Alligator mississippiensis: one gene and its partners. The protein of the gene in region 4 purifies or fractionates together with the protein of the main gene of each other region. This does not show direct contact. Links are inferred from orthologs where the notes say so. Each region holds a gene or a part of one and is shown on either strand. Other genes may lie near its edges.

Region 1 (7,036 bases), on a different chromosome or scaffold from region 4:
TGCCAACAAATGCTTAAGATTAATTCCCCATTCCTCAAATTACCTGATAAAGCAAGAAAACAGATTCAGTTTACAAAATGGTAGTTCAGCATATCACTTCAATTCAAATTGGTTGTTGTGACAGATGTGCACTTAACAGCTAATTCTGTACAACTACAATTCGGTTCTGTTCCTGCAGGACTATTGTCTCCAGTAAAGCCAATATGAGCCAGGTGACCTATTTACAGGGACATTCATTCAGTAGAAACTGACCAGGCCAGTGCTCTGCATGGGCTCATTCAGGATGGCAGACACAAGGGATTCATATTCAAATTCAATGGGAAGGAATACATTAGCAATCATGGGAAGGATCAAGTCTCCTCACAGGAAATGCAGTCCTGGTTCAGGCCACTTCTGCATCATGGACCTCTCCAGGTGAGATGTGTGCCTCCAGAACACGTTTGGCCCTTATTCTGTTCCATCAGAGGCATGAGTACCAATACTGGTCTCAGATCTCACTACTGAATTCTTGAGAGATGTCTGGCATTCTCTCTCATCAGTCTTGGAGCTATGTTCAAGCTTGACTTCACATCCTGTTTATAAGTAGACATATGAGCTGGCTTTACTGGCTGAGATCAATGGCAGTCAGCATAGAAACCAAATGCTGGATCTGCCAGCATGAAGTCTGTGTTGGGAATAACAGAGATTTCATTGCTAGTGGGGTAACTGGTGTCAACATTGGTGGCTGTGATAAAACCTTGAAGGAGTACTACAAAACACTGCTTTATCTGGCCTCGCTGTATCCAATACTATTACTGAGTCTGAAGTGACCCATATAGACTGCTGAAGAAGATCACACTTAAGCTGAGTATTCCTGGGCTTCCAGATCCTTTCAGAGAACAGACAGCAGTTACCCAGAATGCAATCCATACATAGACACAAGAGACACCAGATTAGTCCATCCTTGAAAGCAATCAGCCTGGGGAAGGGCAGGCTGGGTTTACATTTCCCTCTGAATGTGCGGCGGTTGGCACAAAGTACCTTGGTCTGCTGTAAAAGGGGTATTGCAGGATAGTGCTCAGCATCCCCTTAAGAAACATCCTTCAAAGAAATCTTACCTTTCCAATTTCATTCAAGTCCATTCATGGGCTCTGAAGACATGTTGGATACCTACTGAATTCTACCTCGTGTTCAAGACAGCAAAAGGAAGCTAAAAAAAGACTGCCTCTGCCTCACCCTTTTAGATCCTTATGTCGGAAGATGAGAAATGCAAAATGTACATTTAACCTGGTTGGACATTGCTATTCCAAAGAATTAGAAGTTGTGTGCATCTGATATGCACACATACAGAGGAATCCAAATTGGCATGTACTCACAGCAACCTAATTCTACAGTTATATTCTTTTTACTGACTACTCTTGAAATTCATGAATGACACTACATTTGGGGTCATTGGTAGTGTTTAGTAGAAAGGGAGAAAATTTAAAAGGACTCCAAGTTGTTTTAGAGATTTAAAATGTCATTAACACCAATAGTATCATTTCAAAACATTTGACAGAATTAAGGGCAAAAAACTAGGATCATCATCTTGGGACAACACAAGACACTAAACTGTGCTGTAAATTAGTTTTGTTACTTCCAATTAACACTATACACCAAAACTGAAAGAAATTCAATACATTTTTCACAATTTACTTTATGCTAGTGCTGTTTTCATATTGGGTACAAAAACAAGGAAAAAGATGCATCAATCAGACCTTCGTTTCATGCCCATCATAACAATATCTGGACACTTCAGAGTATGTACGCGAAGATTTCAGCGTTTCTTCTCCCACTGCTTCCATAGGAAACATGCACGTTTTGGTGGCGATTTTATTGTAGGACCCCTCAGTCAATGAGGTGAGATTAAATTTGACAATAAAGCTGTTAACAACAACTTTTCCATTTTAAGATCTGTGAAGTTAACCCATTGCTCCGTGGCAACAAGCGTTTTTCATAGTCTTCAATGCAAAGAAAAAAAAGGGCAAGCGATGCTGTAGGACCATACTTGAAGTACTTACCATCTTTAGCTTCTGATCTATGTCCAAGCTTAATCTAAAGAGAGATAGTAAATGCTGTGTTATCTACAAGAAGAACCACACACCTCAACTGTTTGTCTGAGCAAAGATGTTTCTCAAGGAAAAAGTGAGTTTCAGTGCTGTAAAAACCTCAACCGGTAATGTTTTTACAACCGCATGTGCAGCTTTTGGTATGTCTGGAAGCAACAGACATTGCACAGAAACAAAACTGATGATTATATTATTCTTTGCAACCAGGTTTATGCTCCCCCATGTGACCCACACGCTGTTGCACCTGCAACAAACACAGTTCCCCCGTGCCCGATTAAGTACCAGGCCCATCACAAGGGCTGCACCCTGAGCTGCAAGTCACCCCAGACCGACACAATCCCCTCAGCTGACTGGAAAGACCCGCGGCAGCATGTTGCTGTCCTGGGACAGTGGCCCCACGAGCCCCGCCGACTTCTGACGGATCCTACAGGGCAAGCAGGCGGCTCCCCCGTGGAGCCTGCTGCAGCCTGCCCCAGCTCCAGCCCCGAGGGGACACGCGGCGCAGGCCGCGGCCGGGCTGGGAGGGGCCCGGGAAGCAGCTGCACCGCGCTGCGGGCTACAGCCCCGCGGCCAGCCCGGGAGGGGGACGGCAGGGTACAACAGGACCCACCTTCTTGATGGCCACGATCCGGCCGCTGCTCTTGTCCCGCGCCTTGTACACGGTAGCGAACTAGGGCAGAAACACACAGCACGGTCGGTCACTCGGATCCCGCGGGGACAGACGACCGCCCCCGCCCCCACCCCCGGCCCGGCCCGGCCCGGCCCGGCCCACGTGCCCACCTGCCCCTCCCCGAGAAAGTCGAGTTTCTCATAGCGCTTGGCGCGCGCCCGCGCATCCATCGCCTCGGAGCGGGGCCGCGCGCGGAGGGGGATTTAAACCGTCGCAGCCGGCGCGGCGCGTCACTTCCGCTCGCAAACGGAAGTCCCACCCCCCTCCGAGGCGGCGACGGAAGTAGCGTGGCCCCTGGCCTTCCAGCAGGTTGCCTTTAGCAACCGTTGCTAGGCTGCCCCTGGCGCGAGGGAGGCCTAGCCGTGCCCGCGAAGGGACCTCGGAAGATCCTGGAGCCCAGCCCCCTGGTCTGGGCAGGAACGGAGCTGAGATCAAAGCACCCAGCAAGGTGCCTGTCCAGTCTCCCCTTGAAGACTTCCAGGGCTGGGGCCGGGACTGCACCCCCCCAGGCCCCCCGGATGTCTGCGCCAAGTTCGGGTCGCCCTTGCGGTGAAGAAGTTCCTCTGCTCACTCTTCAGGGTGCTCCGACCCCTGCTCTGAATCGGCCAAAGAAAGAGAAGCCCCTGAGCAGAGCCCACACTTGGGAATGGAGCTGCTTCCTCAGGTGGCCTTGAGCAAATCACTCCACCACCGTCTCTCAATTTCCTCTCTTATGCACTGGGATTATGTGTCCTGTGGCAGGGCACCCAATTCACCAGCGTGTTTAAAAATTGTTGAGACACTGCAGGAAATGCTCCTCGAGAAAGGTAAAGATTTACTAAAGCTGCATTGAAGGCCAGGCTGGAAATAATGCCAATCAAGTAATGTGCTGCAGGATAATGTTGAAGTTATTCTCCTCATCAGTCTGAGAAAATAGGGATTTATGAAAAATACAGTTTCCCGTAACACTGGGTCTTCAAGCAACCTATGAGGTTGAAGGGGGCAGTATTGTTTTAAGTATTAAGGCTGACTCACTTGCAAAAATGTGTACTTCCAAAGAGGATCCCAATCCCTACACATGGAAATAGATGGCAGTAAGACATATTTTTAAAATGCACTGCTTTGTCTGCCATCTATATTCAAGGACTCAGTGTTCATTGTTTTTAACGTGGATCAGTCTGACAAAGCAGCGGGTGCTGTGTCAGATAATCTAGAACTAACAGGACTGGACCTATTGACTATCCCCCAATGCAATCTTCAGAGCACAGACGGGAAGGTGCATGTGGGGGTGGAACTTCTGATTGCCACACAGTTTTAGCAGCCTCGGAAGAAGAAACTGAACCTAGTTTTTAGTTGGGTTAACGTTGTTAAGTGAGACCTGCTTTCTGAACAAGCAAATATCAGTGTGGAAGAGGTGCCATCTCCTGTTCCTACCCTAGTTATTTTAAATTGGCCAGAGAGGCCTTAACAGCTATAGCAGTCATTATTATTTAATCTCCCTTTTAACTAGGTAATGGTAAGCTTATTGAGCAAACAAGGAGAAAACCAGACCACTTGTCATCTTCAGTGGATTTGTCAAATATATTTTGACAACTCTTATAGCTGTCGGGCAGCGACTGCTGTTGTTCCCCTCCATCACCGTGGTAAGTTAGGTTTGTGTGACAAGATTGTGTAGTTTTAGTACTAAGTTAGACAAGGATTTGTATAGGACGTTTGGATGCAGGCAGGGGGGTGGACCAGAGGTCTCTTCCTGCCCTACTTTTCTATGGTTCTTCTTGAAACCAACACCATTAGCATCATGATGTCCTTGACCTCTACATTTTAGGGAAGTAAGAATCCAGTCTCAACGATAATTTTCTCCAAAAAGAATGGGCAGAAAAAGTTTAGAATTGGTTCTAAACATCATTAATTAACAAATGTTACTCCAACAATAAGCTGACAATCTCCTAATTCTGTTTCCACCTCATGGAGCAGCTACCAAAACAGCTGAGCGCAAGACTGAAAGCTCATTTTCCATTGCCATTACTCAGAAGTAAGAACATTAAGATTTGAACATTATTCATAGAAAATGCAGCCCTGCTCAATTTCCTTAGCAGGAAAAATTCTGAAGCTGGATTGCTGTCCGTGGAACAGCTACTAAAAAAAAAGCAACTATTGCTGAGCAGAAAAGTAGAATGGCTCATCAGAAAAAGTGCATTGGAATTGTGTAGGTATATAAAGTGTAGTCACACAGTCTTTAACACAAACTGGCCCAAACACAAATTAGCAGATAGAGTCTGAAGCATCAATCTTGTCACCCTTCATAAGGGGTCTTTATTAAAGCTATTAACATATAACTGTTTATAACAAATTGCAGAAGGAAAAGCCTTTACTGTGAATATAATTCATTCTTCAATGGAGGTGAAGAGACATCGTCTATGCTTACTCTGGACCTCCACGCTGTAAAAGAAAAAGTGGACAATTACAAACTTTATAGTAAAGGAAAGAAGCAGACACATACACAGCTGAGTTGTATTACTGGGTGGGGAGATATTTTCTTTAATTCAGACTTATTATAGAAGAAATAAAAGGTAAGATCATAGCTAAAGACAGAAAATGTCTACATCTTGACTTTTATAAAAGCTATAGTTTTCATATTAAAAGGTTTCTCCATAATTTGATGAAGAGCAAAAATGAATCCACTGTAGTACTATCCTGGTGAATAAGAATTTGAAAAAAGACAGTTATTTTACTTGTCCAAATTCAGAAGTATAAAATAGTAAAGTCAAACTATTTAATACTCTGTTCTACTGATGTTGGCTCTATTACAACTTACTATGTCTCCCTGTTAGAAATTTAAGTAGAGACATATCAGGAAGCCTCCTACTTAAAATTAGTTCCATCACTCTTAGCTCTATGTAAGAAATGTAATAACTTCTTCATTGGTATTTTTACTTTGCAAATGCCTGTCTTAACAAGCCTAAAGAAATGCAATTCTTTTATGGTGCAGACTGCAGTAAGAACTGAAACATTTTTAATGCCTTTAAAAGGTCCAGCTATACAAATGCACATGCCTTCTTCAATATTCCAAATGTGACTATGAATTGGGTACTATTTTGAAGCACTTCACTGCTGTTTAGGAAATGTGACAGGGGACCTCTGGGTCCTCCAGCATCTCTCAGCGCTCCATTTTTTGCCTCCATGCACAAACATAAAGGAGTGGGAGGAAGAGCAGGTAACTACAGCTATGTAGATCATAGCCCTCACCCCTACTGCCACCACTGGAGCCACACTTGGAAGCAGGCAAGATCTCACATTCCCTTGGCCGCTGTTGCCTCCTCTCTCCCAGTACTGGGAGCGGCAGTACCCAGTGTTCGGGTTCAGTGTGCTTGAGGTGTTCCTGGAGCCCCATCTACTCCCAGCACTGAAACCATAAAACTGCCAGTGTCCACTCCTGTGACTTTTGCATAGCAACCAAGCTGGCCAGGAGGTTGCTACCTGGTTAAAACTGAGCAAGCAACTACAAATTTTATCTGTGCATAAACACTGACAGTATAGGGAGGATGTGCAGAAATAGTGTGATAAGAAAGGTAAGTATGGATGTGTTTAAGCACATAAAGGTTTAGGAACATATCCAATAGTGAGACATAGGTTATATAGTCTGTAAATAGCTAATAGCAGTGCTAATAGCAGAAGTTGAAATAATAAATATGTAAGTAACATAAGATATAAAGAAAAATTGGGAACGAAAGGTCTTTGGATTACTGGACTACACCCTTAAACATCTCATTGAGACCCTGGACTGTCTGAGCAACAGGATAGGAAGCAAGACTTGCCTGCATGGTAACTAGTACATGTCTTAATATTAAAGTGTGTGCTAGCTCCTGAATAAACTTATGTTATTGGAGTGGAAATACTTGTGTAAAGCATTCTATACACAAAACAAGGGTTCTCTGATCCAAGATTTTGGGGTAACAACACTCTAGACACTCCCACACTTACTGGAGCCAGATTGGGGGGAGGGTCTGGCATCCCAGTTCTGACAGGCAAGGGGTACTCAGAGAGAACAGCCTCCCTGATCAGAGCAGTAATTTGGAAGTGCTCTGACTGGGGAGTCCTACAGAGATCACATGCAGTGTCCAGGATACTTTTTGAAACGTTTTGAAGTCTGTAACACTTGGAAACCTTTCAATTGTTACTTCTGTCTCCCTCTAGCTTTTAGTATTTTTGTTGTCTGGTAAGCTTCTGATCTGTGAATCTGGTAACACTGCTCAAAACTAAACAAAACAGCATGTACATTGGTAGTTCCTAGCCAAGTTAT
Region 2 (7,571 bases), on a different chromosome or scaffold from region 4:
TCATAACAGGATCAGGAACAAGAGTAGCCACAAACATATTTGTGACAAAACTTAAATACATGAATAACAGTAAATGAATGAAAGAAACCCCACTTCTGTTAATATTAGGAACAGTAAGACAATTCTGGAAAGCTTTTATACCATAAAACATAACCTTTGTCACAGTTTACCATAGCTTTTCTTCCATTTTCTTAACTGGCTCTACTTAGTATGATACAATTGTACTATTCACGCTGTACTTACAACTCCTGTGTAGTAGCGTAATCCAACTACATTTCCTCGCAGATTTCCAAACAGGACAAACAAATCTAAATCCTCATCTGTCCCTGAAGTGTCATCTGTATACAGAAAGTCTTCAAACCCAAGAGCAGAATCAACATCACCAGAAGAAGAACAGGAATAAGTCCTATTTCCTCCATAGCCTGTAGATGAACCATAGTTTCTGCAAGAGGACACAATGAAAGTTACCTGATAATGTTTTAAAACAGTGGGGCTCAACCCCCTGGCCCATGGGACAGAACCAGTCTGCAAGCCCCATGTCATCTAGCCTTTGGGGATCCCTAAAGGTCTGGAAATTTGACAGTGGAGAAGCAGTGGAACCGGCTGCCTGCTGCCAGATTTCTGAACCCATGGGAAGCCCAGGCAGAGCTGGAAGGGCGCAGTGCCAGGTCCTTGGGCCCAGTACTGACACACGAGGCAGAAAGAGCGGTGCCACACACTTGGGTCCTAATCCCAGCATGCAAGGGATAATGCCAGGTACAAGGGACCCAATCACAGCACATGGGACAGAGAGGGTGCAGCTCTTGGCCCCAGGGCCCAATCTGGCCAATGGACTGGCCTCACACCACTGGTCTGGCCTCTGGGGGGCCAAGAGGCTGAGCAACGTTGTTTTAAAACAAGTGTGAATATTTTAATTACTACCATTTTTTCTTTTATAAGCATCTCTAGTTCTACCCTTTTACAGTAAAATTATACTTACAAAATCAGTTTCACATTGTTTTACCTCACTATTTTCACATAGTTTATACTTACTTTAAAGGAAAGTCAGACATAAAATTAGTTTTACATCAGTTTCACACAATACACAGTAAAAGAGATTTGACAACATAACAGGATCCTGACCTGTTTCAAACTGCTGCTGAGGTAAGTTACATCTCACCTCAAGAACATCAGAGGACTAAATTACCTGTAATTTTTCCTGATGATTGTAAGCAGGGGTGCTCAATCCCCAGCCTGTGGGCCAAATTCAGCCTAAGGAGCCCTGGCATCCAGCCCACAGGGTTATGTGCAACTTGATGAAATTTGTTGGCAAGAGAGCAGTGGCACCCCCCGCCAGGTTTCTTAGCCCTGCGCATCCGGTTCAGGCCAAGGCCATTGCCACACAGCCCATTTGAGGCTCTGGCTGGGCCTGCCCTATGCAGCCCCTGGCAGACCCAGAAATCTGGCACATGGGATCAGGTCCCCCCTCATCCCCACCCCATGCCCATCCAGCCCATGGGATGAAAAAATTGGGCACTGCTCCTTGAGAGGATGCAGTTTTCAGCTGACTACAAGACCACGGCATCAGTACCACATCTGCATTTTAGAATGTATTACATGGAAGGAAACTGGTGATAAGATTTCATTTTCTTTCTATGTCTGCTTTATAGAAACACCAGAAGAATAAAGGAAGAAAGTCTCCAGACAGAGGCAGAAAGGAAAGGGAGAAAACTCTAACTTCTTCCACAGCAGGGAAAATAATGTCTTTTCTTACAGCAACCACAGAAAAGTTGTAAGAAAACAAAATTACTCTATTCTTCTCCCTGCTGCAACTAGGGGGAGGAGGACAGAAAAGAGTGGAGCCATTCCAAAAATAAGTCTTCCCACCCAATATTCTGAAAGGAGGGGGGCAAGCCTAATTTTTTACATGCTTTTCTAATATGCAAACGAGACCCCCCTAAAAAAGATAATTACTGTACATTGACACAAGACCACCTGCACTTCATTTCCTAAAGGAGGCTGGAAAGAAAGGAGCACTGGCTATCACAGAACACTGCTCCTGAATGTCAGTGCCCTCTTATTCTCCCACCTTCATCAAGGCTGGAAAGCATGAAGAAACATGAACCATGTTTCCAACCTTACTTACAAGTCTTTCAAATGAAGCCTGGCCCAGCAGAATCTTTTGAATCCTAAGATTATGCTTTAAAGTGCTCGTGTATGACAGGTGTGGAAATAAAGGTCTCTTGCTGTTTGTGGGAACCGCTAACCAGCCAAAGAGACTCTGCAAGAGGCAAGGATTTTTGTAGGTGCTATCTTTTACTGGACCAACTGCATACTGGGCCCAATAAAACACCATCACCCATGAAACCCATGGCCCCTCCCATGTTATCTGGACCATCATCACACCTTCAGCGCCACTCCTGCACTGCAAGAACTTGCCAGGCCGTCCTGCAGCTGCCTCCCAGCGCGCCCATTTCCGTGCGGGCCTCTCAGTCCCTGTCACTGCGCTACAGCTTTACTGGGGCTTGGTCTGCACCGGCTCTGGTTTGTGCCGTGCAGGGATCGCTGACACCTGCCTTCGGGTATCAAAGGTACGGCCGCGGAGCCACGTCACCCAGCGCCTGGGGCTCGAGGCCCGCGCGCTGCGTCGCCGCACAACTGGTCGCAATGGGGCCCAGGCGAGACGCAGCTCCCAGGGCTGGCGCGGGCCCCGCTCGCCATGTGCAGGGGCCGAAGCATAGGCCCAGCCCGCACGACCCCGCACCCTGGATCAACCCGTAGGGCGGAAGAGTTCAGTGCGCCCGGCCCCCCCTAGGGCAGGGCCAAGGCACCCGGAGCCCCGCCCCGCCAGGCTCGCCCCGCCCCCGCGAAAGACCCGCGGCTCCGTCCCGCCCGCCCCCCGGCCGGCCGTGGGCCTCACTTGGCGAACATCCAGGCCCCGAGGCGGAGAAAGGCACCAGCGCTCACAACCCGCAATCTCCCGCTGCCCCGCACCGGCTGCTTGGCCCTACTGACCGGAGTGACAGCAGCCGACACCAACCCCCGCCCGCGCCTCCAGGGATTTCGACCAATGAGAACAGGACAATGGGGAGGGGGCGGGACTTCCTCTCATTTGCCCGCGCGCTCTCAAAGGGCCTATAAGGACCCGGTCCGGCGCCCGCGGAGGCCTCAGACTAGCCCCGCCCCCCTCGCCCTGCGGGATGGAGTGAAGAAGGGATCGCTCTTCACTGGGTCGTCGTAGCGCTGCTGCTGGCGGCGGGCGCGGCCCTTGCGGCCACATGGCGTGTCGTGCCTGAGGCAGACACGGTTCTTTGGGTCAATACGATATAATTTATTCGACCAACTGAAAAAGTTGGAAAAATTCTTTGCAAGCTTTCCCCCAAGAGCTTGCAAATCATTTTTTCCAACTATTTTAGTTGGTCGAATAAATTACGTCAGATTTACCCAAAGAACCTTGTCTACGTCCTTAGACAACACAGATACAACCTATAGCCCTGATGTTATACCTAACACATACATGACCGGCTGCGTCATATAATGCACTCTCATGTGCAGTGCCAGCTCGGTGCTACCCACAGCTGGGCGTGCCACACAGCCATTGTGAGCCACGCCTGTGTCGCATGAACATAGAAACAGGATGTTTGAGGTCACGTGAACGCATTTTTTTTAAGTTTTTCACAACTCTGAGCGTTGGCGACATAGAGGGTGCATGCGGGTGTGCATCCACCCCTTGAGATTGGCAGTGCACCCCCTGAAAGAAGCGCCGCCACTGCCATGGCACCTGCAGGTGGTCACTACTCACTAACCCCCCACCACCACCATCACCAGCAGCGTCTGCATGTGATCACTGACCAATGGTCAGCACTCACCATGCCTCCGCCGCCACCACCGCTGCCTGTGGGCAGTCGCCATGCCCCCCCCAGCCTCCAGGGCACGTGCAAAGTACTTGCTACAAAGCTCCAAACAGCTATAAAGTTAGACCTTGAAAATGTGTACTAACTTTACAGCTGGTTGCTATCCAGCTTTAATTTACAAGTAGCAGGGTGTCCCCTGCAGCTTGGAGCCCTGTCAGCTGATTATGCCCACCATAAAAGCTCCAACAGCCACAGTCCCCCAGGCCTGGGGTTTTATGGATCCTTGAGCCCATGAACGATGCATGCCTCTGGAGGCTGAGCAGGGCACGGCGACTGCCAGCAGGCAGTGGCAGCAGCGGCAAGCAGGGAGCTCCTGCAGGTGGCTGCTGTGGTGTCAACAGCAGGGGTGGCAGGGTGGTGCTGAGCAGTGACCGCCCACAGGTGCCGCCAGCAGGCGCCGCCAGCAGTGTCAGCAGTGCTTTTCTCAGGACGTGCACTGCCAATCTCAGGGGGCACACGTGCACCTGCATGCACCCCCTATTCATTGCCAATGCCTGAGCCTTGGGGATCACAGCAGCAATGATCTCCCAGGCCCAAGGGTGTGTAGGGTGCCCCCACAGGTGGAAGCTCCTCAAGTGAGGAGGCTCCCAGCTGCAGGAGCTTGCCTCTTACCTGTGCAGGATCAGGCTCCCCCAACACATGCAATAACAAGATCTAATGTGTGATCCCACAATCATGTCTCCTGCCATGCATGCATGGTATGGCAGGAGGCACAACTGTGTAGATCTTGTGTTAGATCTCATGGCACCATTACTTGAATGTGTAGTGAGGGCTAAACACATACTCTTTCTATATACTGGGGATATTGTGTGATGGCGATTTACTTCGTGGAGGTGTTTACTACACTGAACCCCCAACAGCATCATCAAAAGGCAGAAATGTAACTGGGCAGTTCTTGGCCCTCGGATGGTGGTGCATGGGGAAGCTGTGGCAGGTGGCACAGCAGGTAGGAGGGCAGGGGCTGCTATTTTTGTGCCCTCCCCCGCAAGCTGGTGCCCAGGGATAGAACCCCTGGTCACTCCCTAGCTTGCTTCTCAAAAAGAATTGAAAGTTCTCTCCTTGCAGGATTGCAATCTTCGAAAAAATGGTTTCTTTATGGGCTGCACAATAAGTGAAATTGATCTGATGCTGACCACAACTTCTGCCACAGCTGTAACTGACTAAGCTGTAATTCAAATCTAACAGATATCACTGTAATCATGATAAGGAAAATAAAACAATATTTTGTTCCTCCACACACAATTAATGCATAAAAAGAACAGGATAGATTTTTTTTAAAGCTTTTTTTGCTTTCCATGTTATAAAAACCTCCACCATTCAAAGACGCATGTAATTAATTTCAAGAACCAAGTAACTAACTCAAAGGATGTTTTCATGAAGTTTTAAGGAAAAGAATGCTATCCAGTGAAATAATAATTGGTCTCTTAGAAAAGGATTTATAACATTGTCTTCAATGATAAACTTTCCTGCTAGCTAACAAAAATTATTTTGCTTTCTAGCTAGAGATAAAAATCAGTGTCAAAAGAGAAAATTGTTTTTCAACTGTTTACCCATAAAATCTTCCAGTGGTTTACGTGCGGATTAACAATTGGCAAGCATTCTAAACAGTGAAATTAATACATAAAAGTTTGTTGACCATTTAATATCTAACATAACTTCAATTCTTCATTATAGTTAAGCAAATTATGCACTTATCCAATGGGTATACAAGTAGAGAACACCATAGTGCATTTTCACTTCGTTCATAGCACATTTTAGGTCCCACATACAGAAAAAAATTCTAAAAGGCATTTTTCCCAGCTTTTCTGCACAAAAAGTTACAAGCAGATGGGATACCAGGAGGCTACTTGTGAACTAGTCATGAAAATTCTAACAAAGCAATTTCCCATAGGGATTTATCAATTCATTGAAATCAAAGCATTCCACACAGATGGTTCATTTGTTAACAAATTTCAGCCGGCCTTTCATCAAAAAATGGCCTGCTCACATTCCTTACCTGGTAATTTGACATGGAACAAGAATCTGGAAATGACTCTCAACCTCTTAGCACCTCCTATATCGAGGTAGTCCTCAAGATAGACCGAGCCACAGAACTTCCCAAGAGCTTCACAGGCTCAGGGCAGCCTATCAGTCAGTCTGTTTTGGAGTCAGAAACCCATGTGACTTCCAAAAGCTGCTGCTCCATTCCATTTTGCAGAGGACTGTGAAAAATTTTGCTGTCATTTTGAGTCTGAGAAAATCAGAACTCCAAATATCAAAATCTTCTGTAAAACAGAATTACCTTCCCCCTCCTTCTCTAATGCTTATGATCTTACTGTTACCCCATGCTTTCCTTCCTGTGTTCGTTGTAGCCCGTTGTTGTCTTTCGAACTGTAAACTTTCTAAGGCAGGGAATTTCTAATATATGTGTATAGTTTGGAAAAAATTGACTGAGGCCTCAAGACATCATCATAATCACTGCCATATATCAATAATATAAGGGCAGGATTGCAGCTGCTCTCTCATCCAGAATGAACAGCACAGCTATAAAAAACACAGAGGGGAATACAAAAATATGTAGCAGATGCCAAACAGTTTAGGTTCACCCTTAGTATCAGAAGTAATTTCCCCACACATTTGTTTTTTAATGAAGTTTTATTGTCACTTTTTTGGAGAAAAAAGGCATGGGAGCAGCTGAAGCTGCGGTGTATACAAGGGCTAGGTATAGACATTCAAAGAGCCCAAAGTGGAATCAATCAAAGTTATGCAGTTTTCTGTAAATGGCATAGTTTAAATCAGTAACGAACAGGATGCACCCTTTCTTGGGGGAGGTAGGGGGGAGGAGAATTTTAGACTTGGTTCCATCATTTTTACACCAGTCTATGCATGCTGAACTTCTGCTCTGTTATGAATATAGTTTGATTTCCAGTCACTTTGGGTACCTGTACAGGAGTGCAGAGGCCGTTCCAACACACTGTAATCGATTAATTAAGTCTGCTGCAGTGTGGTAATTACCGTGCTCCAGCAGCCTCCCATATCTCATATATCAGCATCCCCGTGCTTCAAAACAGCGGCAGGGGTGCTTTAACTAAAGCTGCTGTAATTAAAGCAATGCCCGCCCCATGTGTAAAAGTGCCCTTATAATGGTAAAAGTGTGATGTTTGTACCTGGCCAAAGTCCCTACTCAGGCTGAAAACTACAGCCTATATTTTGAGGCTTTTATTCAGATTCATTTGAAAAAATTAAATTCATAGTGGAAAAGGAAAAACATCCTTATTCTTTAAGCCAATAAAAAAAAAATTGTGGAGTTTTGTAGAGATTAAAAGAAGCAGCCAAATCAGCATGTTAAGTGAATCAAACATAATCCTTCCTATTATTAACTTTTAAATTTTAGTAAATAAGAACATTGCAATAAATAAAAAATAATAATTCATTTCCCATCTGAGAGAATCTGCTCAATGTTTCACACAGAATTGACACAAGATGGCACTGTTTTGCAGCTTTTCTTTATCAATGGCTTCATCATCTGTAACTTTTGCCTTTGAATCCAATGAATCCAATCTCATCTCCTTCTATGACCAGGTCTCTCACCACCTGGACATGGGAAACAAGGTAGAAGGTATATACCTAGACTTCCAAAAGGCTTTTGATCTAGTATCCCATGATATCCTCGTGGGAAAACTGGAAGACTGTGGGCTC
Region 3 (7,969 bases), on a different chromosome or scaffold from region 4:
TTGGTGGACTAATTATTTGTTTCATAAAATCCAAACAAGAAAAGCAGCAAATCACGTGCTTTCTATGACAAAAAAAGTTACTACTTAATTCATTTTGCATTTATTTAAAATAAAAAATAGAATTTGCTAGTAACATGAATTCAACAGAGTGTGTTGAATATGTGCCTTAAGGCACATACTACCTGTACATTAATAAAAGTAAACTCTTAAGAACAAGTCAGCGGAGGGATCTTATTTTTCCCATCAAGCATAATATGATGTTTAACTTAACTATAGAAGATTGCAATTGTTACCAGACACCTTAAATTATAAAACAGACTTAAATAGACTTAAAATATCTACTCTTCAGTCCCAGATATTTCAACGATCCAGGAAAGGAACAACTCATTTTTCATAAACGAGTTTCTGGCCTTCATGTTCGAAGATATAATACAGATGTCATGGAAACAACAAAGAAAAAATGAGTTTGTTCTTTACTCATCATCCTCTGTTAAGCATGCCAGGAGATTCCTTATCATAACTCCAAATATATATTTTTTTGGTATTAGAAATACATTTCTAATAATAAAAGCTTGTCTATCTTGTATTTACCAAATATCTCTGAAGAACCAGAAGGCCAGAGTAGGATTCTGCTCAAGCTTTAATAAGGGAGAAAGCACCAACATTGAAAAAAGTTTTTCTATAACTTTTTGGCATCCCACTGAGTTTTTAAAACAAACAACAGTTTTAGCGCAGGGACAAGAATGTGCTTTCTTTTATCAATTGTTCAGTTTCACTCTGAGTACATCTTCAGACATGTAAGAACTGAGGGACATTGGTACAGGAATATGACGACAAATGACACTAAATGCAAGCAAGAGCTCTTAAGAGTCAGTAAGCCAAGCCTGTGGCTTCCCTTGGAAAATGAGTCTTAGATTCCGCAGCAAAGCTGTGCAGCACTCTAGAAATCCTGCAGGAGTTTCTTCCAGGTTTAACAAGTATGTTATTAAATTAATGGGGCCAGTAGAGACATGCCTAGTATTATTTATGGAGCTATATTACTCTATATACCTTCATATTTTCAGTGTTTCACATGTTAAAAGGATACATATAACTGCACTTTGAAATCAGTCAAGGGTGACACAATGAGAGAACCTAGTTCTACCTGACACACAATTCCTATTCACCAATGCAGAGGCAGTTAGCTTGTTAATCTGAAGCTGTCAGAAGGAAGGGCAGGAGGGTACCTTCCGTACTCCATGTTCATAGCATCTCTGAACCAGTCAGCAAGTAAGGTAGTAGTTACAACACTTTTTTGAGTGTGGTGGCACCCCTGGATGAAAGCCACTCTTGCTGCTGCCTCGCCTTCCCTCAGTGCTTCTAAACTGAGTGCAGTTGCTTCCAAGTCAAAATGCCCCACACGCCTGCTGTACAGCCAGCCCAGAATGTGCACACTCCTCCTGCTCTCTAGTAACCCTAAAGCTAGCTTGGGGCGCAGCTTTTCCTGGTCTGCCCCCTACCCTTGCTCCTCCTGACATCAATGATGCACCAGTGCAACTGTCCCTGTTTCTAGGAGGGGAGTGGAGAAAATGCAAATTAAAAGAGTTATGGAGAGGTTCCTTGACTCTTTAAAGTTGCATAAGTGCTGCATTAGAGGCTGGCTGGTTCTGAGAGGCATGAGCTTTCCTTGCTAACACGTGACTTCCTCAGAAGCTACAAAAGGATGTAGTACATAGTAGTGATGAAAGTTCCCCCTTCCGCACCTTCGGCCTGGCTTTGGGGGCAGATCCAGGGGAGAGTGCACAGATAAACTTGCACCCCTCTTTGATTCCTGCTCCACCCAGAATTTAAAACCAACACCCTGGCAGTGGCAACAGCATTTCTAGTCAGCTCGTGCAGAGGGAGTCATAGAAAATGAGGGCTGGAAGGGACCACAGGAGGTCATCTAGTGTAATCTCCAGCTCATAGCAAGACCTAACTCAATTGACTTCATGGCTCCTAATCTACCAAATCCCTGCTAAACTCTTTACTCCACAGGAGCTAGGGATTCTCTCTTCTGCTTACATGTCACTTTATATGAGACTGCACCTCACCGCCTGCACCCCCTTTCCAGAACTACAGCTCTGCTCGCACCTGGCTTTATCCAGCAGACAGCGGGAGCGTGCATGCCACAGCCCTGCACACGGGGCAGCTTCACTTGGCTGCCACCTCCGTGCACCTGAGGGGCATCACACAACACTCTATTGAAAACCACTTCTCGCAGTGCCTGCCCTGCCTCTGGCTCTCCCTATCCCAGGGAGGGGGTGAATCTCCATCCTTGGAGGTTTTTAAGACCCAGCTAGACAAAGCTGTGTCTGGGGTGATCTAGTTGGGGCTGGTCCTGCTTTCAGCAGGGGTTGGACTAGATGACTTCCTGAGGTTCCTGCCACCCATAACTTTCCATGATTACTATGCTAATCAGAGCCCTAGTAAGATACACAGACCCACGTGAGAGGCCTCCTAGCTCCTCCCGTGATGTCCCAAACCACTCTGTGGCATGAGCCCCCCACTTCACTGCAGGGCAGCTCCTGCTCTGGAGACCGCAGCGGGGAGCGGGGCTGGGTCCGGGCGTCACCCCCGGGCTGGGCCTCACCTGGAGCGGTGGCGAGCAGCAGGCGGCCGTGCCGGGCTTGCACGTGCGCCTCCAGCCCCGGGGCCGACGCCGCCGCCTCCCCGCAGAGGGGGCACGCGAGCGGGCTGGGCCCGGGCGCCGCCGTCGCAGCCCCCAGCGGGCGGGAGCTTTGCGGCCCCGGCTCGGGGTGCGCGGCGTCGATGTGGCGGCGCAGCTGGTCGTAGCCGCCGCCGCGGAAGCCGCAGAACGGGCAGGGCGGGCCGGGCCCCAGGTGCACCCGCGCCAGGTGGCTCCGCACCTCCGACTCCGACAACAACTCCTGCCCGCACACGTCGCACACCTGCATCCCTGAGGCGCGCAACCGGTTGCAAGGCTCGAGTAACGCCCAGACACTGAATTCCTTCCTGCTTCCGCTTTTGTGGCAGCAGGGCGCATGCGCGCGCGGTCAAAGCGCCTGCTTCCACAGTACTGCGCGCGGTGCATGACGGGAATTGTGGTTTTGTGTTGGGCTGTCGGCTCTGGCCGCTGCTGCGTCACTCGCGGCGCGCGGGGCCTGTTGGGAGGAAAGGCGGGGCTCGCAAGGCGGGCGGGGTTGCCATCTTGGATTGCGAGACGTCGCGGGCGGCGGCCTTTGGGGCCTCTCCCTCCGGCACCGCCTCCATGGGTGAGAGCAGCGGGGCGGGCGCTGGTGGGGCTCGGCAAGGGGCGCGGAGCGCGGCCCTGCGGGCTAGGGCCGACCGCCGCCTGCCCGCGCCTCTGCGGGGCGGCCTGGGCTGTCCGGGGGGAGGGGGAGCCGGCCCTGAAGGGCAGCCTTGCCAGGTCTTCAATATGAAATAATCGGTTGGGAAGTTCAAGTAGTCCTTTTTTCTGAAAAACGAGCGTACGCTGAGAAATATACATATAAGCATCCGAATAAGTGGTCTTTTTCTTTACTTTCTATTGCTGTCTGTAAGTTGTCAGCGAATGAGAGAGGACTGGGTCATCCAAGTGGAAGCATGCCTTTATTTGGAGGCCAGCAGTCCTAAGAAAGTGCTGACAGCAAGCCCAACACTCAATTAATTGACTCTCTGAGAGTGACTTGGGTTAATGAGCTGCCTCACAAATGATTGTACGCTTTGCACGTTTTTACTATCATTGGTCATACCAGATTTGAAATTATCCTACTAACATGATGATTGTCGTGCACCTGGTAACACTGGCCTGGGTTGGCTGTGGAGGGAGTCAGCTGTAGGGAAGGGGCTGCCCCCGGCGCTCAGTTCCTCCCTTTGGGAGGGCAAGCTGTGTGTTCGCAATCCGAAAGGAGGGTCCAGCTGCCTGGGAAGGTGCATGGTGGCTGCAGTCGTAGCAAGGTTTGCAAAGATTTGGCTGAATCTTACCCCATCTGGCAGCAGCGGCCCAGAGACCATAAGCTTTCCTGGTCTGCTCTGGTTACAGACCCTTCAGGCCAGCATTGTCAGGTCTTAATGTGAAATTATCAGCTTGGAAGCTCAAAATTATTGTATTTGCTGAAAAACTATTGCACACTGAAAAAATACTTTAAAACGTAAATAAGTACACAAATAAATTTTCTTATTTACTTCATATTGCTTACTCTAAGTCAGCAATGAGTGAGTGAGAACTGGGTCATCAAAGTTGAAGCATTTCTTTATTTCGAGGCAAGCCATCATAAGAAAGTGCTGACTGCAAACCCAGAAGTTGGTTAAGATTCCCTTAGAGTGACTTGGGTTTTGCATATTCTGCATCAATGAGCTACCTCAAAAAATATTGTAGATTTTAAACACTTTTACTGTTGTTGATCGTACATCGCACAACAGGTGAAATTATTGTTTAAATACAATAATTATCGAACACCTGGCAACACTGCTTCAGGCTGAAGGTACCAGCACCATAAAAGGAGCTGGGCATGGTGAGAGCTGAAGGGAGGGCACCAAATGCTATCATTCCCAGTTCACCTTGGTCTTGCCCTTGTTTCCAAGGTGCCATCAACATGACATCCTGTCAGAGAAGAGAGGCAAGCTACCATACTTGGGGGTGTGGTAGGTGATAATCAGTTTGGCAGGTTTCACTGTGAAAACTTCACGTAGACGTTGCCCATGTCAAGGTAACTTGCTTTTTCCAGCCTACTTTGTCCACAAGGAAGGTGCTGTCACATGGAGCTGGTTGAGTGCTCCTTAATTGTTTGTTTTACGTTGAGTACATTGTTTCCTAACCCAGGGTTTAGGAAATGTATCTGTTTAGGCAGCCTGTCTTTCAGAATGGAGTAGGTGCCATCCACTGTCAGAGGATGACAGTTTCTTGCCCTAGAGATTGTGCAGCTGCTTGTATCTCATAACATACAGACTTTTACGTAAAAGCATTGTTCTTTGTTATAGACACCATGGCAAGCCCAGGAAAAGATAATTATCGGATGAAAAGTTACAAGAACAATGCACTCAATCCTCAAGAAATGCGTAGACGAAGAGAAGAAGAAGGAATCCAGCTTCGGAAACAAAAAAGGGAAGAGCAAGTAGGTCTCTTACTCTGAAACATAGTAAACATGGTCTGTTAACTAAATAACTGAATATTTGTGAATGTAGATTGGCATCCACAAAGGGCGTTGAGATGCTTTTTGTTGTCTGGCCCTGGATTAAGGGGAAATGGGGGTGGCCATGCTCTATATGCAATTCATGGAGACATTAAACCACCCCTCAGTATGATCCAGAGGAGACAGGAGAGCAGAGAGGCCTAACGTATTGAATAGGAAACGCTGAACACAGGGTTGAGTCTTAGTCCACTAATTCATTGAGAGAGTGATTTACATTCCGTTTTAAAATATGTTTTAAATAATATTGACTAAAATAGCAAGACTTTAAAGAAGAGGATTTAGGGTTTTTTCTTGCATTTAAAAATGTGTCAAGTGTTCTGATTTAAAAAAGAATCATACAAGCTAAAGTATAGCATGAGTGAAGCCATTGCTGTTTGTCCCATTATGTACATTATGGGGATGTTTTGTGCATCTCCTTCAAAATTCATAATTTTTTTTTTGTAAGATCCCCATTTGCTTCAGTGATAGGAAAGGTGACTTGTTGATTACTTGTTGAAATTTACTTTTTTTCAAATTTACCAAAACATCTGTAGCTGCTTGTGGCACTGCATACTTTGAATGTTTACCTTAAATTTGGGTGGGAGGGGAGGGCATTTGGAAAACGTAATAACGTGAAACTTTATCTAGTTCTTCTTCATTTAGTTATTTAAACGCAGAAATGTTTCTCTCCCGGGAAATGAAGAATCTATGGTAGAAAGCCCTATCCAAGATCCTGATGTCAGTTCTACTGTACCTATTCCAGAGGTGAGTGTTTCAGAATTCCATTTGAAGTGTGCTTTCGAAGTACTGAAAACTGCAAAGATGTCATTTTTTGAATTTTTTTTTTAAAGGAAGAAGTTATTACAGCAGATATGGTGCAGATGATTTTCTCAGATGATCCTGATCAGCAGCTTACAGCAACCCAAAAATTTAGAAAACTGCTTTCAAAAGGTAAATCAGTGTTGTGTTGCTTTCTTTCTTCAAATTTGTTCATAAACATTATATCTTGAATTTATTACACTCTTCAAAAACAGAACTAACTAATGCTTCTAACTCTCATATCACATGAATGCCAAATTCGTTTGAACATAACAGTTAACATGCAAACCTTTATTATTCTAAAGTTAAGTCTTTTAGACAAAGGAAGAAAATCAAGGACATTTTGATTAGAGTATCAGAACAAATAGCTGCACACTTAGCAATCATTGCAGTACAGGCAACCCCTGCTTAGCACTCTTAATTGGTGCTGAACAAACTGAGTGTTAAGTGGAAACACACTAAGCGAAACCCATTTTCCTAGAGAAATTAATGTAAATAAATATAATTGGTTCTGCCGCTTCTTGCCGCCTGCCCACTGGCAGCTCCAGCACCACCTTGCCAGCCTGGGCCCTGTGCTCCAGCCGGCCCCCAAGCCTTGGCCCTGGGATCCTGTGTGGGTCCTGTGCTCCTGTAACCCCTGCCAGCACACCCCCCCGCCCGCCCTTTCTCACTGCTGCTGCTGCTCCTCTCCACCCATCGTCCGCTCCAGCACCACATGCCAGAGTGAACCCTGAGCTCCTGCCGTCCTGTCCTGGGCCTGGCCAGCCGTGGCCTTGGGGACTGATCCAGGCCCCGCGCTCATGCCCCCTGCCCGTCCCTTTACACCACCGCTGCTCCTCCCTGCCCGCTCCAATATCACATGCCAGAGTGGACCCTGTGCTTCTGCTGTCCTGCCCTGTGCCCCTGCTGGCACTCACCACTTCACTCAATGACACTGCCACCACTTCTCCCCACCCCTGCACTCAGCATTATAGCGAAACATGCTGAGCACTAAGTGAAACCAGGTAGGTATTTTAAATGAGCACTATAGCAAAACTGCGGTAAGTGAAGCTGCATTATGCAAGGGTTACCTATACTTAACTCTCAAGCAAGGTAGTGTTTACTTTTGTGAAAAATTTGATTCGGCTGCTAATATTAAAATGCACTTGCAGCTTTTGTTGAGGATTGTGACTGATGCATCTCATAGAATTATAGAGAAGTAGGTCTGGAAGGACCATCCAGAGCTTATCTAGTCCCTGCCTAAGCCAGAATCATCTCTATCCAAACCATCCCATACAGCTACAGAGTCAACTCTGACACAACCACAAGACATAACACCCTAACTTGCCACTGATAAAGCAGGGTGACCACAGCAATTGACATTCTGATGCTGCAAATGTTGTTAAACTATGCTTGAGAGATCCAATGATGTGGGCCATGGCCCACTTCCCCGCCCACTACAAAGCAAGGCAGACATCCCCAGTCTGTACCAATGAATTATTCCTTATCTGCTGTTTATGTGAAAACCCCTTATACAACTTACTGATTTCAGATGGAGCAGTGAAGCTATGTAGAGAAAGTTCTCTTAATATCTTTTAAAGAGTAATTTAAAGTATTGTCTATATCAGTAATAAACTAAAATTCAAACAAGTGCCCCATAGGCACAACTTTTAGATAACGTTTTAGACAGCGATAGCATTTGGAAACATTCCAGAAGGAGGTGGTGGTATGGTATTGGCACTACCATCTGAGTTTACAGACAGCACAGTAGCCAGGAGTACAGTTAGTCAAGTCTTGTGCATTTCATCCAATAATTCTGGATTTCATAGATTTCATAATTAGGGCTGGAATCGGACTTCAGAAGATCATCGAGTCCAGCCGCCTTCCCCGAGGGTAGGAAGTCAGCTAGGGTCAAAGGATCTCAGCAAGATAAGCGTCCAAATGCTTCTTAAAGGAGTCCGGAGTAGGTGCTTGCCCCATCTTTGGAGGGAGTCTATTTCAGGCCTTGGGGACTCAGA
Region 4 (7,021 bases):
TTTTTCTGTTTTTTGTTTGTTCACTGGGTAGAACTATAACCCTAACTCATGTACACAATTCATACCACAGAAGAGGAACAAATTTTATTATAGCATCTTACTACAAATACAATGATATAACCACAAGCGTGGTCAGCTGTCTTGGAGCAAGTACAGGACACCTTTTGAAGTTAGCAAATTTTAAGTACAGGCAAATGAAGGTCTCAAAGTGTGTCTATATTGGTGAATTATGATGCCAAGCAGTGGGCCTATTTCCTCTGTGGTTTGTGGTGCCAAAAACCACGCACACAGTGAAGGTTAAAATGTGCCCTGAGCTGTAAATCTGCAGCAGAGGGACAAAAGTTTGCTACCAGGATTTCCCAGTAGCAAAAAAATAAATAAATAAATAAATAAAAAAGCAGCACCGGAAAAAAAGGGGTGTGACACGCGTTATAGCAGCATGCACTGGAACAAACAGAAGCTTGGCCCTTCAGGGAGATGCTTTGGCTGCTGGCTAGAGCATCTCCACTATTTTATTTGTGCCCCAGCTGGTCCAGCACACCAGGAGTCAGGAAGAGTTAGGAAAGAGCAGTTTGCCTGAAGCGGGACAATTTGTCCCTCACAAAGCACAGGTGTAAGGGTGTGCACCGTGGCACAGAGTAGCAGCACAATTTTGTGCCACTACTATTTGTGATGCTGCAAGTGCATGCCCTTGCTCATCTGGACATGACCCAAAGTTCAAAGCAGCATAACTGCCATAGCACAGTGTTGTGTCTCCATCAATAAGCTCTGCCTCCGAGATACTTATTAGCATATGCTCAGTGCCATGCTAAAGGTGGACAAATCCTGGTGGCATGCACAGAGCAAGCACGGCATCTCAATACAGTGCTACAACGGAATGGTACACACACTCAAATATACTCAGCTTGGTTAGACTGTTAGCTTTCAATTACACATCCCTAAAATATTAGGGAAAGGCGATGTGCATTACTATAGCAGTGTGGGAGAATCCAAGGAAACTAATGACGCATCTTATTTTGCACACCTCCCCTCCCCGCGCTGCAATCTATCCATTCTACCCATGAACTACTAAATTTAAGAAAATGGAGTAACACCACCAGGGACAGAAACAGGGACCAGAACCTATGGCACTTACCCCTCCATGGCAGTGCCCATCTCACTAAGCCAATGAGCAAAGCACCCTCTAACTAAGGCTAGAAATAGATGTTGCCAAATGAAGCAGATTGCCTGTGCTGGGATGTGTCCACAAGTGGCACAAAACATCTCTTCCATAGCTAGATTTGGATGTATAAGCAACAATTAGTTATCTTTGGGCAAAACAGGATTTGACTCAGCGACCTCTTCAATTCAGTTATGAAATAACTTTGAAAATATTGAAAGGACAACATTTTTAATGAGACGTATGGAATGCTGCAGAACTGAAGAGGAAGTGAAGAATAGAAGAGCAGCCCCCATAAATGCAGGGATTCCAGTTAGAGTGATGCTTGTCTAGGTATATGCATGTCATATTATGAATGTACCAAAAGAGGCATATTATCTATTAAGGACTCTACTAGGGTATTGACATGCCACAGTTCCTATGGCATTTAGAAAAAGGGAACTAAATGCTGAATACGAAAGCAGACTATCTGACAGGGTAGGCAAAGAATTCTCCAATGCTCATTTAATAAGAGGCCCAATTAAAAAAGTCCCTGTACTCAGCTGAATTAGTATTACATTACAAGGTAAATACTACTTCTTTGGACCCGAAAAGACGGATAAAAATTAAATACTTAAATGCCCCCTTATCTTAAATCCTAAGCTCAACCTGGTGCTTACATCAGTATCAACCCACTGTCTGACATCCATAGGGGCTGCAGTCATATCATCCACTTTGTAGAGAATGTTTGTCGGTGCTTTCTCTGCCTGTCTGATGAGCCCCATGATAAGGACCTAGAAGAGATGCAGACAAAAAAGTTACTTTGTGATGTAGGTTCCTGTCGATTCTGAAGCTTTTCCCATTCCAGATCCGATTCCTACCTGTGAAATCTCTACATCTCGGACCTGGAACGTTTCATCCACCTGCTGAGCAGAAAACAACTGAGACACTGTACACGGCACGATGTTCTGGGACCGGGACTTCTGCAAGAGGGAATGGAGAGTCTCAGAGAAACAAAACCATTAAAAAAAAAAAGAGTCTGGAAGGGTTCTCAAGGGTCATTTGGTCCAACCCCCTCCTCAAAGCTGTCAAACCCTACCAACGCCGTCCCAGACAAGCGCTGTGTCCGACCTGCGCTCGAGAGCTGCCAGGAACAGGGCTCGCACCTCTCTAGATTTCCTGGTGCTTGATGACCGCTCGCAAGATCTTCCTCACGCTTCGAATCACATTTTGATCTTTGCATGCAGAGAAACAGCCACCCAGACCAGCCCACGCACCGACCTCTCCTGTCATGCAACATGTACTTGGCACGGGCGCTACAGGCACCGCTACCACATGAGCAAAACCCCGGTCGTCTTCCGACAAAAATCCGCGTAAGGCAAGAACGCTTTTCCAGTGAGTTTACGCTCCGCACGGCTCCCAGTTAGGTCTGAAACCTGCTAGTAGCAACGGCAGCATTAAGGAGCATTCAAATGCTCAGCCTTCTGCCTGCAGCACAGGCCAAGGCCGCAGGCAGCTGCCAGACATGCCCGGGGAGCGGGGGGCCCATGCCCGGGCACGCGCGGGGGCACGTACCGGTCTCTTGTCCTGGGTGGCGGCCGGGGAGCCGAAGCCGCCCGGGGACTGCACGTATCCTCCGCCCGCCGACAGCCCGCCGCCGCTCTCGGACCCTGCTGGAAGGAGCGCAGCACCGCGTTACCCCGGACCCGGACCCGGACCCGCACCCGCACCAGTCCCGCCCCCCTGGCCCCGCACCCCGGCCCAGCTGCGCTCACCGTGGCTCGTCCACATGGCGGACAACAGCGCAGCGCCGCGCGGCCCGCAGCTCCCGCCGGCGCGCCGCACGCAGCCACCCAATCAGCGAGCGCGCCGCTCCCGCTCCGCCAACGTGCCGGCCAATCAGCTCCCACGGCGCTGACCTCCCAGCTATGTCCGGGTTCAAACCGGAAGTGTGACATCACAGGGGTAGAACGGTGACTTCCGCGTGGGGGCGGGGCCGCTCCGAACCCTGCTCACCTGTGGCGCTGGGGGCGGGGCGGGGCGGGGCGGGGCTGGTGCTGCGTGGGGCCGCGCCGCTGCATGCTTGGATCGGTCTTCTCGGGTCCTGGGCCGTCCTCTAGTCTTTGCAGCGGTAGAGGTTGTGAGCAACGAAGTAGGGGGGCTGCGCAGTTGGGGTTTTATCAGAAAGTCGAATTGACTAATAAAGATGTAAAATGTAATGCATCAAGTACAAACCCTCGAATAAAGGGCTGGGATTATGGGGCAAAATACTTCGAATCAACTCGAGCCACAGGGCTCTGCAGCTAGGGGACACGTCTCAATAACTGACCAGGGCAGTGCCCGACCCACGGCTCAGGGTTTGCGAGCCAGCCTGCCTGCTGGTGGCCACTGAAGAGCTGTGCTAATACGGTGTTTTCAGCTATCTTCCATGTTGGGCTATTGGATGGAATGTTACGCATTGATAAGGATGATTTATTTTGCAATTAATACCAGATCTGCCTGAATCCAAGATGGTTTTGAATGTAGGATGCTTTAACCCCGAGTAAGCCAATTCCATATGTGGAAATTTAGAACATATCATCATTCTATAACTGGCTGTCATTTCCCATGTATAGAATCTGATTACTGGAGGGTTGTTTTAAATCTGTCCTCAGCTATGGAGGGGGAGAGGCACGGAGCCTGCCCCTGCACCTTGCTCCCCTGCCACTTGACCCCCGTGCCCGCACCCCTGCCACCTGTCCCCTGATCCACAACTCACCACTGGGCCCTAGTCACCTGACCCCCGCCAATTCCCAACCCACCCTGCCGCCTGATCCCCGTCACATGCTGTTCTCCACCTCTGCCGCTGCCCAGGCCCCAAGATCTGCTGCCTCCTAATCCCAAAGCGCACTACTGCCCAGTACCCTACCCACTTCCCCATGTGTACGGCTGCTCCTACCCATGACACCTGCTGCTTCCCAACGCCCCCATGCGTTCTGTTGCCCAGTTCCCAACACATGCTGCTTCTGGCCGATCATATGCACATGCTGATGCCCGATCCACCCACACAGCTGCCCCATTCCTCAGCTGATCTTCATGTGCGCTGCTCATGAAAGCTGCTGCCCCATCCCCTGCCTGATCCCTGACCTGTACTATTGCCCAGTCCTTGACATAGCTGGAGACAGAGTGCTGGTACTCAGATCCAAGATGAGGCATGTTTTTCCCCATGTTGAATGAGGGGAAAAAACTTGTCTTGGATTCAAGTAAATACAGAAAGAAATTACATTTGGAAAAATTGGTGTGGGTTTATATACAAATCATATATTTCCATGAGAAAAAAAGGAAGGAAAGAAAATTTATAATATTTGCTTCACTGTCAGAAAGCAATTTACATAACTGTGCTTTATTTTACTTAACTAATATACAGGCACAAAGTAGGAAAAAAGATCTGCGAAACTAATAACCTCACCCGTTCATGGTGAAAAGACATGACAGGTGCTTACCTCAAAATCTTCATAATGGCCTATAGCTCTGTCTTAGAAGACTGTTGCATGTTTAATATGAAAAACCGAAGAAGAAAAACCAAAGTGTAATTTTTAATATGGTTTAAACCAGAACCAAGAAGTCAAATAATGTTGCAAGTAATTCAAGTAGGTTCCATGTTCATAGTGATATGTATTAAAAAATTCATAGTTGCATATACACGTATCTCTGATTATATTCGTCACATTTGACTAAGGTTATGTTCCATACTGACAACTTTGTCTATCCCTTATCAGCGTACCCCTCATTAATATGCAGAGAGGATGCCCGTCAAACCAGCAGCCTGGAGGAGTAACAGAAACCCCAGCAGAGTGGCAGAGACCCCTGGCAGTGATGGAGCTCCCTGGCGGAGTGATGGAGAACCCTGGAGGTGGCATCCACAGCAGTGCTGCCTAGCATTGCACCCTAACACCTCTCTCCAGCATCAGAGCGCAAGTAACTCCTGTGCGGGCCTCCCTATCTAGCCCTTGATACTTTGGCTGGCATATGTAGTAGAGCCTCAGGAGAAGCATGGCAGGGCCTTTGGTGGGGATCTCCCTACCCAGCACTTACTACTAAGCTGGTGCAGGTGGTAGAGTCCCTGGATGGCAGCCCCGGGTGAGACTGTCTTCCCCAGGGACGGCTAGGTGGTAGCTCCCCAGGTTGGGTTGTCAAGACTATGACTGATCAATACTGAACTACAGTTAAAGGTTAATCGTTAAGGTATTGCTCCCCTTTTCCCTTGTAATAAATCTGTTTTAATTTAAATTTGCTTACGAGTGGGCAGGTTTGTTTACATTATAACACCAAGTTCAAAGTTATTTAACCAAGTTTCTGGGTGGGGGCTCAAGGTAAATTTGAAAAGTTGGTGTAAAACCCCTATATTTGTATGCAGCTATTCTTAATTCCATCTAGTGCCTGGCAAAACAGCAACATATGGGCCTTACCCCCCCTCCCCCCACACACAATGGCAAAGACATGTGGTTTTGGGTGACCCAAAAAAGGATTTCCATACATAATCCCAGGCCTGGGGGCCTGCTATTAAGGAGCCAAGCTTCAGGTTGGGCAGGGTCCTGCCCAGCATCTTTGAGAGAGTCCCCTGATGTTGGAGAGGTGTGTTTTGGGGTGACCCAAAAAGGATTTTCACTCATAATCCTAGCCCAAACCCAGCTCCTTCTTGAAGCCTGAGGGGCTGTCAGTAGTCAGCCCAGCACGCAGATACCAATCTTTAGGTTGGGCAGTGTGCAACTCAGACTTATTAGAAGTGTACCGTGATTGACGAGACATGTGATTTGGGGTAACCCAGAAAGGATTTTGGCCCATAATCCCAGTGTAATCTCAGTTCTTTTTTCAAGGCTATGTCCTTGATACATGATATTATTTTACATTTTAATTAGTAAATATTTATTTTTGATTAAATCCTAGCTCTTCAGTTTGTATAATTCATTAGTAACAACTTTTAATTGTGTAAGGATTAGTTTTGTAAAAGGAACTGGGAAGAAGGAACTGGTAATAAAGAAACAACTTCAGACTCATTGGGTCGGACTGGGCTGGGCTGCAAGAACAGGTCAGTCCACAGGAGTTATCAAAATGGAAGAGTTATTAAAATTCACTTGAGAGATCCAAGGAAGAGGGCCATGCCCTTTGCTACAGAGGAAGGCAAACCCCACTTAGGTCGTACCAATTTGACCATGGGGTAAAAGTCCTCCCTGTTTTCAAATGTGGTGAGATCCTGAGAAGAATGGCAAGACCCCTCTAGCCAGGAACCTCCAAGTTTTAGTCCCAGAAGGAACACTGGTGGGCTATTAAAATCCCCAGCCCTGGCTGCAGCCAACACCAATGCTTCTGCAGAAGACATAAAAAGAAAAAAAAATCTCATACGACTAGCACAGGTGGGAAAAAATTCCTTTCTGGCCCACTGTGGCAACCAGTAAAGACTAGAAGCATGGTAAAATCCTATTACCATCCATCCTAATACCATCCATTCTGCTCCATAACCTTCTCCAGTTGCTGAGCATTGTCCTCTTCAATTTCCAACTGCTCTGGGATGCACAGCTTTTCTCATGATCCCTGACATCTTGTGTGGAAGGGCTCCTGGGTTTCCAACTGTTGTTATTTACAGAACACATATAGCTATACCTAGATCATCCCAGAGCAATGCTTATCCAACCCCTTCTTGAAAACCTCCAGTGATGGAGATTCCACAGCTTCCCCAGACAGTGCCTTATTGTTCTCACAGTGACGAAGTTTCCCATGATATCCAATCTAAATCTACTTTGCTGCAACCTCAAGCCATTAATCCACATCCTGCTCTCTGCAACAAGAGAGAAGAGGTGCTCTTCCTTTTCTTTATGGCAGCCCTTCAGACATTTTAAGATTGAC

What was found.
Region 1: the proteins of RPA2 (region 4) and CDK7 purify together in Homo sapiens (affinity purification with mass spectrometry; 3 studies listed by BioGRID and IntAct, with this or other methods). This does not show direct contact. The link is inferred for Alligator mississippiensis from reciprocal best matches to the Homo sapiens genes RPA2 and CDK7.
Region 2: the proteins of RPA2 (region 4) and HLTF purify together in Homo sapiens (affinity purification with mass spectrometry, with the first as the bait; 3 studies listed by BioGRID). This does not show direct contact. The link is inferred for Alligator mississippiensis from reciprocal best matches to the Homo sapiens genes RPA2 and HLTF.
Region 3: the proteins of RPA2 (region 4) and ZUP1 purify together in Homo sapiens (affinity purification with western blotting; 3 studies listed by BioGRID, with this or other methods). This does not show direct contact. The link is inferred for Alligator mississippiensis from reciprocal best matches to the Homo sapiens genes RPA2 and ZUP1.

What each region holds. Positions count from the first base shown.
Region 1 is NC_081826.1:258,225,241-258,232,276, forward strand, and holds the start of CDK7 (cyclin-dependent kinase 7), read right to left. Parts: upstream 3,003-7,036; 5' UTR 2,928-3,002; coding exon 2,868-2,927; intron 2,758-2,867; coding exon 2,698-2,757; intron 2,074-2,697; coding exon 2,040-2,073; intron 1-2,039. Other genes in the region: MRPS36 (alpha-ketoglutarate dehydrogenase component 4), read right to left, coding at 5,158-5,175. UniProt on the Homo sapiens protein: Serine/threonine kinase involved in cell cycle control and in RNA polymerase II-mediated RNA transcription. Cyclin-dependent kinases (CDKs) are activated by the binding to a cyclin and mediate the progression through the cell cycle.
Region 2 is NC_081830.1:61,038,438-61,046,008, forward strand, and holds the start of HLTF (helicase-like transcription factor), read right to left. Parts: upstream 3,009-7,571; 5' UTR 2,911-3,008; coding exon 2,900-2,910; intron 443-2,899; coding exon 244-442; intron 1-243. UniProt on the Homo sapiens protein: Has both helicase and E3 ubiquitin ligase activities. Possesses intrinsic ATP-dependent nucleosome-remodeling activity; This activity may be required for transcriptional activation or repression of specific target promoters.
Region 3 is NC_081824.1:101,709,667-101,717,635, forward strand, and holds the start of ZUP1 (zinc finger-containing ubiquitin peptidase 1), read right to left. Parts: upstream 3,009-7,969; 5' UTR 2,937-3,008; coding exon 2,612-2,936; intron 1-2,611. Other genes in the region: KPNA5 (importin subunit alpha-6), read left to right, coding at 3,251-3,254, 4,963-5,096, 5,817-5,918, 6,005-6,104. UniProt on the Homo sapiens protein: Deubiquitinase with endodeubiquitinase activity that specifically interacts with and cleaves 'Lys-63'-linked long polyubiquitin chains. Shows only weak activity against 'Lys-11' and 'Lys-48'-linked chains.
Region 4 is NC_081829.1:16,844,657-16,851,677, forward strand, and holds the start of RPA2 (replication protein A 32 kDa subunit), read right to left. Parts: upstream 3,019-7,021; 5' UTR 2,930-3,018; coding exon 2,914-2,929; intron 2,812-2,913; coding exon 2,714-2,811; intron 2,122-2,713; coding exon 2,020-2,121; intron 1,933-2,019; coding exon 1,819-1,932; intron 1-1,818. UniProt on the Homo sapiens protein: As part of the heterotrimeric replication protein A complex (RPA/RP-A), binds and stabilizes single-stranded DNA intermediates that form during DNA replication or upon DNA stress.